Linked DNA regions of Yarrowia lipolytica. The protein of the gene in region 2 interacts with the protein of the main gene of each other region in a biochemical or structural test. Links are inferred from orthologs where the notes say so. Each region holds a gene or a part of one and is shown on either strand. Other genes may lie near its edges. The genes, in order: YALI1_E39306g and YALI1_E34708g.

Region 1 (3,633 bases), about 460 kb from region 2:
TGCTGAGGTTATCAGCTTATTTGCTCTGCGACCTGTCTTCTGCCAGGACATTCCTCCTAAGATGGCTACTATCATGTTTGGACTCTGCTCGCGAATGGATGAGTTTGTGTCTGCCTTCAACAATGTGAGGCGAGTGGAATCTTTCAAGAACCGACACGCTGTGTTTGAGGAGGCTGCTCCTGCCATGATCAAGGCTATCGTTCGATGTACCAAGAACGAAGTTACAGCTAAGGGACCTGAGCAGGATGATATTTTTGTTCGATTCGAGGTTACCCGGCCACACCACCAGGCTATGGCTAACATGTTTTCACTTGCACGACTTCTAAGACATTCCGAGAACTCTTCTTTTCCCCAGAAAGCCATTGAGACTGCATTGGTCCAGTGTGCCAAGGAGGGCAACATTGCGGGACTTAACAAGGTCCTCTCGTGGACTGACCAGATCAGCAAGCGTGCCACTGAGAGAGTGCTGGCATTGTTTCCCTACGCCCATGGCATGGCCGAAGAGCCTCTGACCCCTAGTATTGGCATCTCCAGCATGTTCCAGGAGACATCCTATGTTGGTCATGTGAAATTCCTGGAGTCCCTTAAGAAGAAGACCGAGGCCAAGGAGCTTATCTCTGAGATTGACGAGAAGCTCGAATCCATTGACTAATTTCTACAAGTGTAATTCTGACTACTGTAATCAATGCATGTAAATAGTATTATAAATATGTCATAGTCATAACAGGGCGTGAGAAACGACGGGTCTAGAATCTGCACCATCATCTTGGGGATTTTGAGAACCCTTCTCGGGCTCGTCTACAGGTCTATCATTATTGTTGTTCTTGTTGTCGCCTCCAGTAGCAGGCTTGTCATTAGCTGGAGGGGCTGGGGCCGGTTTGCCAGCCACAGGCTCCACGTAGACAGTATGGGATCTTGGTTTGGCAATTACCACGATCAAGAGACCCACAACCACAAGTGTAAGAAGCAGAATGATCTTGCACTTGTTGGATCGCTTCTGATACACCGCTCCCTGGACCAACTCCTTATCTGCCTGTTTCACGTTAACAGCCATGTTTTCAATGTTGTAATCGATTCGATCCAGCAGGGTTCCCTGGTCAATGACCATAGTCTGCAGGTCTTTGAAGATCTCTGCCAGCTCGATGATACCCTCTGCAATCTGCGCAATCTCCCGTTCTCGTTGTCGGATATGATGGTTCTGGGTGCTCTGGTCGTCCTCTTCAATGAGCTGTTGAGATTGCTGAAGTGCCTTCTGCGACAAGGAAACATCTTCGTCGTGGGTGTTACTGGAAGTGGTCGACTGGAAAATGGGGTCCATGCTGCCCTCGTTTCGTTTGAGAGCCTTGAGATAATTACTCTGCAGTTTTCGGAACACTGTGGACGCATCCTGAATCTTGGTGGCAAGGGCGATTTTGGCGTTCATTTGCATCTTGTCCTGGACAGGATCGCCGGATTGTCGGTCCAGCTTCTTCAGCATGCCCTGGCAGTGGTGCAGGTCCTGGGTGATGTCGTAGGTGATATCTGAGATGAGCTTTTCTTCACCACTTCGGTCATCGAAGCCAGGGAGCGAGTTTTTCCGGTGGAGAACCTCCAGTCGATTGACCTTGACCTTGATTTCGCTCAAAATGCCGTGGACGTCGTCTGAGATGGTTTTGGCCAGTGAGTTGCCCATATGGGCAAGCTCAATCTCATCGGCTCCACCGGTGTTGTCTGAGTTGGCGATTAGTCCCTGTTCCTCCTCATCGGACGCATGTGTTGCTAGAAGCTGTCGGGTCGACCTCGGGAACGATTGCCGATAGGAAATATACAGGTTTGTTCTGTCTCGAAACATGTGCCTTTGCCTTGCCTTTTGCAATGTGGTGATATGCTTGTCCTGACGTGGAGCTTGATATTACACTATAGGTTATGAGATGCGTCAGATGTGTCCATTTTTCAGAGATTGGGAGATGACCATTTTGGGGGCTACGAACACGACCCTGTTCTTGGAATTGGATTTCGAGGTATATAAGGGGCTCAAATGACGCCCTCAAGTCTCACCATTATTTTGTGATCACTCATCTTTTAATTCGCACATCACCTACGTCATTAAACTCACCATGCAGCGGTTCCAGTACCGATTCGGCAACCACTCGGCCGTTGACAGGCACACACTGTGCAGAGGCGCGGACTGAAAAGGTTGCGATTCCGACATTGGCCTGTACAGCATGCCGTTTGGCCGTTGAGTGAGTCAGATAGCGCGAGAAGATAGAGCGGCAGGTGTTTTAGACTAGACGTGTCCAGACAGGGGAAACTACGGGTATTGTAGCCTCCCACTATCTATGCTAGCTTGCATGTTTAGAGGCCTTGAAGCGGCTACCGGAGTATATATACGACAACAATCGCGGGCGGGTGAAATAGCACACATGCTCGCTTGTGGGCTTGGCTTGGCTCTCTCTTTTAATTTCTCGTCTCACCATGTGCAACCCACGCTCGGATTTTTCGCACATTGGATGTTTCCCCGAGCTTCTTTAGTTTGATAGCACATGAGGAAACAAGAGGCTAAAAAGCAACAAGGATGTGTTGCACCATGAAGCGAGAGCAGAGGTGCCGTATATTAGACAGGGTATGTGGCTGGTGGTGGCTAAACCAAATGACAGTGCTCATAAGGGATAACACGCGAAAAACATGTCCAAACAATTGCAAAAATAATGGCAGACGCACAACTGTTGTACGGTTGACGTGGCCATATTGAAGCGGTACTCCATTGACGTACCTACCCCGTTCCCTCCGCACACCTTCCACTGACTACAAGTAGCTACAGTTAGTCCCACTGAACCTGCATGACATAACAGTTGGTACAGTTTTTTGCGGTTAGAGTTTCTGAGCTCTCCCCCATTATATAAAAAGTGTTGCGACTACTTCGATCCAAGGCCATCTCCAGATCCGCCTTTTTCCACACACGAACAGCAATCATGACCGAGCTCACTCACCCTTCCATCGTCGACGGCTGGTTCCGAGAAATCAGTGACACCATGTGGCCTGGCCAGGCCATGGCCCTGCGTGTCAACCAGATTCTCCACGTTGAGAAGTCCAAGTACCAGGACGTTCTGGTTTTCGAGTCCACCGACTACGGCAACGTTCTCGTCCTTGACGGAGCCATCCAGGCCACCGAGCGAGACGAGTACGCCTACCAGGAGATGATTGCGCATCTTGCTCTCAACTCCCACCCCAACCCCAAGAAGGTGCTTGTTATTGGAGGTGGTGACGGTGGTGTCCTGCGAGAGATTGTCAAGCACGACTGTGTCGAGGAGGCTGTCCTCTGTGACATTGATGAGGCCGTGCCCCGTGTTTCCAAGCAGTACCTCCCCACCATGTCTGTCGGATTCAACCACCCCAAGACCAAGGTCCACATTGGTGACGGCTTCAAGTTCCTCCAGGAGTACCAGAACACCTTCGATGTCATCATCACCGACTCCTCCGACCCCGAGGGTCCCGCCGCCTCTCTCTTCCAGAAGCCCTACTTTGAGCTCCTCTCCGGTGCTCTGACCGAGAAGGGTGTTATCACCACTCAGGGAGAGTCCATCTGGCTGCACATGAAGATCATTAAGGAGCTGCGACAGGCTTGCAAGCAGGTCTTCCCCTCCGCCGACTACG
Region 2 (4,263 bases):
CACCCCGTCGGTTGTCCTGGTGTCGGTTGTCAGTCTTTCGGTTGTCCTCGGGCTGGTAGATAACCTGGTTATTGATATACTGGTAGTAAGTATCATCAAGAGTCTCCTCACTGGCGGCAGTAACCTCATCTGTGGGGATGGTGGCAGCCACGGCAAGGGTGGTGGCCTTAGATGCTGCGCCAACAGAGACAAGAGTGGTGAGAATGATTCCAGAAAGCTGCATAGTCAAAAGTGAGAGAGTAGATGTTTTGTCTGAGAGTGAGTCATTGCCAAAGGGGCCTATATATACATGCTTATCGTCAGAGGTTTATCGTCAGAGAGAGTGTTCGTTTTCCAAAGGTGGTAGCGATGGTACCCTGGACTTGCCACAAGAGGTATCAATGTTTCACCAGTGTTCCAAAAGCGACAGCTCGAGAGGTGGTTGAAATTGCTCTCATTCAGTTTTTGGTATCGCTGGCTGGAATCAGTTATGTTGCCCCTGACATGTTGTTCGTATATATCTGGCAGTTCAAATATAGAAAGTGTAGAAGGAAACAATGCACTGTTGACGTGCAGGGGGTTAGTCTACGCAGCAACTACGACAACCTTTATTGTCGGCTTTTATGTCCGCATGAGGTAGCTTGTACAACTCATCTCCAATCTGCTATGTAACCTCACCAATTTTGACCCAGGCACTCAATGCCTAAAGTGCACCATCATCAATCATAAAATAATATAAATTATATCAGCTGCCTAAGTCGGGTTTCGGGGTCTGCGCCACGCAAGAGTCCTCTGTGGTTCTGGTCCAAACACTCCTGAATAAACTCGCCAGAGTTGACAATGGAAGTGCCCCCAAGAACAATACGGACAGACGACTGGGAATTAATTTCGGCAATAAGACGAGCCTCCTCATACGTGACTCCGCCGACAATGAAAACCACTACCTCCTGCACGTCATCCTCATAGACTCCATTATTGGAAACTGGGCCCCGGCCTGCTCCCCGTACATAGGGGTGTGTAGCCTCACGCAGCTTGTTCTTGACAAGATTGGTCAAGGTTTTCTCTAACAAGGGCCGATGTTGAGTGTACACGTTCTGAATACCCTTAAGACCCATGATGTTTCCCTTGGCCTTGGCGATGAAACCTTCTTCAAAGAGAGCCTCTTGTCTCTGGGCGAGGCATGCGAAATTAATGACTGCCTGAGCCGCCTGCACTGCGTCTTGTCCCTCATACTGTCCTAGCATCTCACACAGGAGCTTGAGAGAGTTGTTGTCCTTTTGCTCGTATCGCAGACCGTAAAGAGCAACCAGGCGCACTTTGTTCTCCATGGAGATGGAGGGCGCTGCGATTATTTGCTGAATCTGTTTGAGAGAGTCATTGTGGGAGTCGGAGCACACAAGGGTTTGTTCCAATTCGGAGACGTCCAGATGCTGGCCTTTCTCGACAATTCGAGAGAGCTCTCCCACAAGAGTAACGTGTTTGGAAACGTTACCTGAGAGTCGTCGGAACTCGGGGTACTCCTCCACAAATCGCTTCATGTCGGCGATACTTTCAATGTCCATGTTTGATTGTGTCTTAGACTGATAGTGCGACACATAATCCTTGATGGATTGGCCCAGGTCTCCGAAGTTATGGTACATGTTGTCAGCGAAGAAAGGATCATCATTTTGAGAAAGAACAATTTCTTTGAGCTCGTCTCGAATCTCAGGCGTGTTACGGAGATCCACTCGGTTGTTATCGATACCGATGAATTCGTGGACCATGGCTTGGTAACTCCAGGGCGTCAATAGAGGCGTGAGGGGATCGTTCTTTCTGTCCAGAATAAGCAGGACGGGCGCCGAGTCCCTGGGAGTTTTGAAGTTGAACAGGTTCTCTTCCTGCTTGATGCCGTAGGCCAGTTCTTCGGCAAGTTTTCGAGCCATATTGGAATTGGCGTCGTATCGGATCTGAGGTCGCAGTTTGAGACCCAGCAGCACAGCCTGCAATGACTCTGTGCATCTGTTGAGACATTCGGGGTTCCACCCTCCGTCGGAGTAGATGGAGAGCGAGTTTCTGGTGAGAGAAAAGTTGAAGAGATCCTTGTTAACGGCCAGGAAGTCAGCAAAGCTCTCCTGCACCTTTTTGACCACCTCATAGTCGTCACTTTCAGCCAGTCGTTCCAGCTGCGACTTTTTGACCACGTTGGAGAAGTAGAGCTCGTAAGAGGCATATCGAGGGTTCCGCAGCTCTTCACACAGCTTGGCAATGGAGTCGTTGCTGGGCCGGATAAACACAATGCACGCCAAATGTCGTTGTTTCTCTCGATTGGGGTTGTCGATTCGGTCTATCAGGTAGACTTCATTTTGAAGTAGAGACGATTGGGTTGTGCACATGGAAACTATAGGGGTAGTTTCCCCGTCTAGCAGCAACACCTTGAGCTTGCCAGACTTGTCCCCGACCATTGTGGTAATGTATTCCTTACCAGTTTCCGTGACGTTCATTTTCTGTCGGTTGCTCGTTCACCGTCTGGAAAGAGATACTATCTAGCAGGTGTGATAGCGGTGGCCTTATGCAGGTCAGACATGGTGGATTAGGGTAGGTGGTGTCAGTCTACGAAGTCGGAGCCAACGCAGATAAAGAGCGAAGCCATTTGAAGTGGGGACTGGAATGGCATATATAGGACATAAAAACATGACTGAATAGAAGGCAAGGGTAAAACTATGGGATGTAGATATAAATATATACATAATAGTTAGATGAGCCCGATTACTCAAATTGCAGTTTTCTTTCCAGGCGTTGCAACGAGTGCCTACAGTATATCTGGTTCTGCTTACGTGAGCCTCATGTACTCCATGATGCGCGGCATCGAAAAGCCTCGACAACCCCACGATAAAGTCGCAACAGCAAAAACCAGGCCCATGGTAGTCAAAAAACAACACGTGGCATCGAGCAAGCATCGAACTGCCTCGGCCCGCAACCTCACCAAAATGCGCGGCTCTTCCACCCATCTCTCGGGGCTCCAAAAGGAGGGGAGCGGCGATAGTCTCACTAAGCGCAAGGCTCGATCGTCAGACTCGCTTCAACGGCTAGCACGACCAAATCTCAGCATGACCCGAACCAACTCCGGCAACAGCAATAAGCAGGATACCTCCGCCAGTAGCGACAAGCTCAATCACAACGAGACATCTCCCAAGCCTGCCTCATCAAAAGAGGCCAACGACAAGGAGAACGAGGAGCAACAGAAGTCCAAGGAGCAGGACAAACCCGTGCATTTGCGGCAGGGCGGCAAGGTCGTCATCGGACTTCCTGTGAGCGACGATGAGGGCTCTGAGGAAGAGGACGAGGAGGAGGTTGACGAGGATAACGGGGATAACGGAGTTGCAGCCAATGGGTTAACAAGAGACATTTCCCGTTTGGCTATCGGAACAGAGATCAATGAACAGGAGCAGGCCGACGCAAACCAGCAGAATGGGGTCTACGCAAACGACATACCCGGAGAGGTGGCTGACACGGAGTCGAAGACCATGGCTGAAGGAGAGGAGGCCGTGGTGGCCATGCAGGAAAAGATGGCAGGAGAGCCAGAGGTTCGCAGGACCAGCAACAACATCCACAAGGAGAAACATGTACTGATCGACGAGAATGGAGGACATGTGGAGCACCATGAGCATGCCCAGCCTGGATCTGCTGATTCTCCCGTGAGCCCCAAGAGCGCGCCTGGCATCACCAACAAGAGACTTGGTAAGTCTGTCGAGAAAGATGGCCCCAGAGACCCCGAAAGTAGCCAGGAGAATATCTGCGAGGTGTACGACGAGTCAGAGTTCCCCGACTCCCCTGAGCTCAAGAATGTCAGTGACTCCTGTAATCCCTCGAGGGCAAATTCCAGAAACCCTTCTCGAAATCCTTCAAGGAACCCATCGTTCGAGGGACTGGGTCTGCTTAGGAGCCTTGGACCTCTCTCTAACAACAAAATGACCCCTGCATCTAGAAACTCGTCCTATGACTCGCTTAGGTTAAGTCAGCAGGCCACCGAGAAGGCTCCTACTCTCGAGCTCTCTAGCCACCACGTGCTGAGTAATCCTGACGGCTCATCGGGTCACACCCTGGGAAGTAATACCGTGGTCACTAGCGAATCGCCACAGAAAACCCCCAACTCCACTCCTCGCAAAGAACAGCGAAGTCGAACACAGCAGAAGCTGTGGCTTCAGAGAGAGAACGCTATCGACGAGCACGGATCTCCACGATTACCTGCTACTGAGATGCCGGATCAACTGGCCAATGGCAAGGCTGAGTACCAGGTTATCGATA

What was found.
Region 1: the proteins of YALI1_E34708g (region 2) and YALI1_E39306g form a complex in vitro, tested with the Saccharomyces cerevisiae proteins (2 studies listed by BioGRID). The link is inferred for Yarrowia lipolytica from reciprocal best matches to the Saccharomyces cerevisiae genes VPS45 and TLG2.

The regions. Positions count from the first base shown.
Region 1 is NC_090774.1:3,928,866-3,932,498, reverse strand, and holds YALI1_E39306g (uncharacterized protein), read right to left. Parts: upstream 1,832-3,633; coding exon 719-1,831; downstream 1-718. Other genes in the region: YALI1_E39333g (uncharacterized protein), read left to right, coding at 1-652; YALI1_E39295g (uncharacterized protein), read left to right, coding at 2,952-3,633. UniProt on the Saccharomyces cerevisiae protein: t-SNARE that functions in transport from the endosome to the late Golgi and on the endocytic pathway.
Region 2 is NC_090774.1:3,468,404-3,472,666, forward strand, and holds YALI1_E34708g (uncharacterized protein), read right to left. Parts: upstream 2,460-4,263; coding exon 720-2,459; downstream 1-719. Other genes in the region: YALI1_E34686g (uncharacterized protein), read right to left, coding at 1-223; YALI1_E34711g (uncharacterized protein), read left to right, coding at 2,715-4,263. UniProt on the Saccharomyces cerevisiae protein: Essential for vacuolar protein sorting. Function in membrane traffic between the Golgi and the vacuole.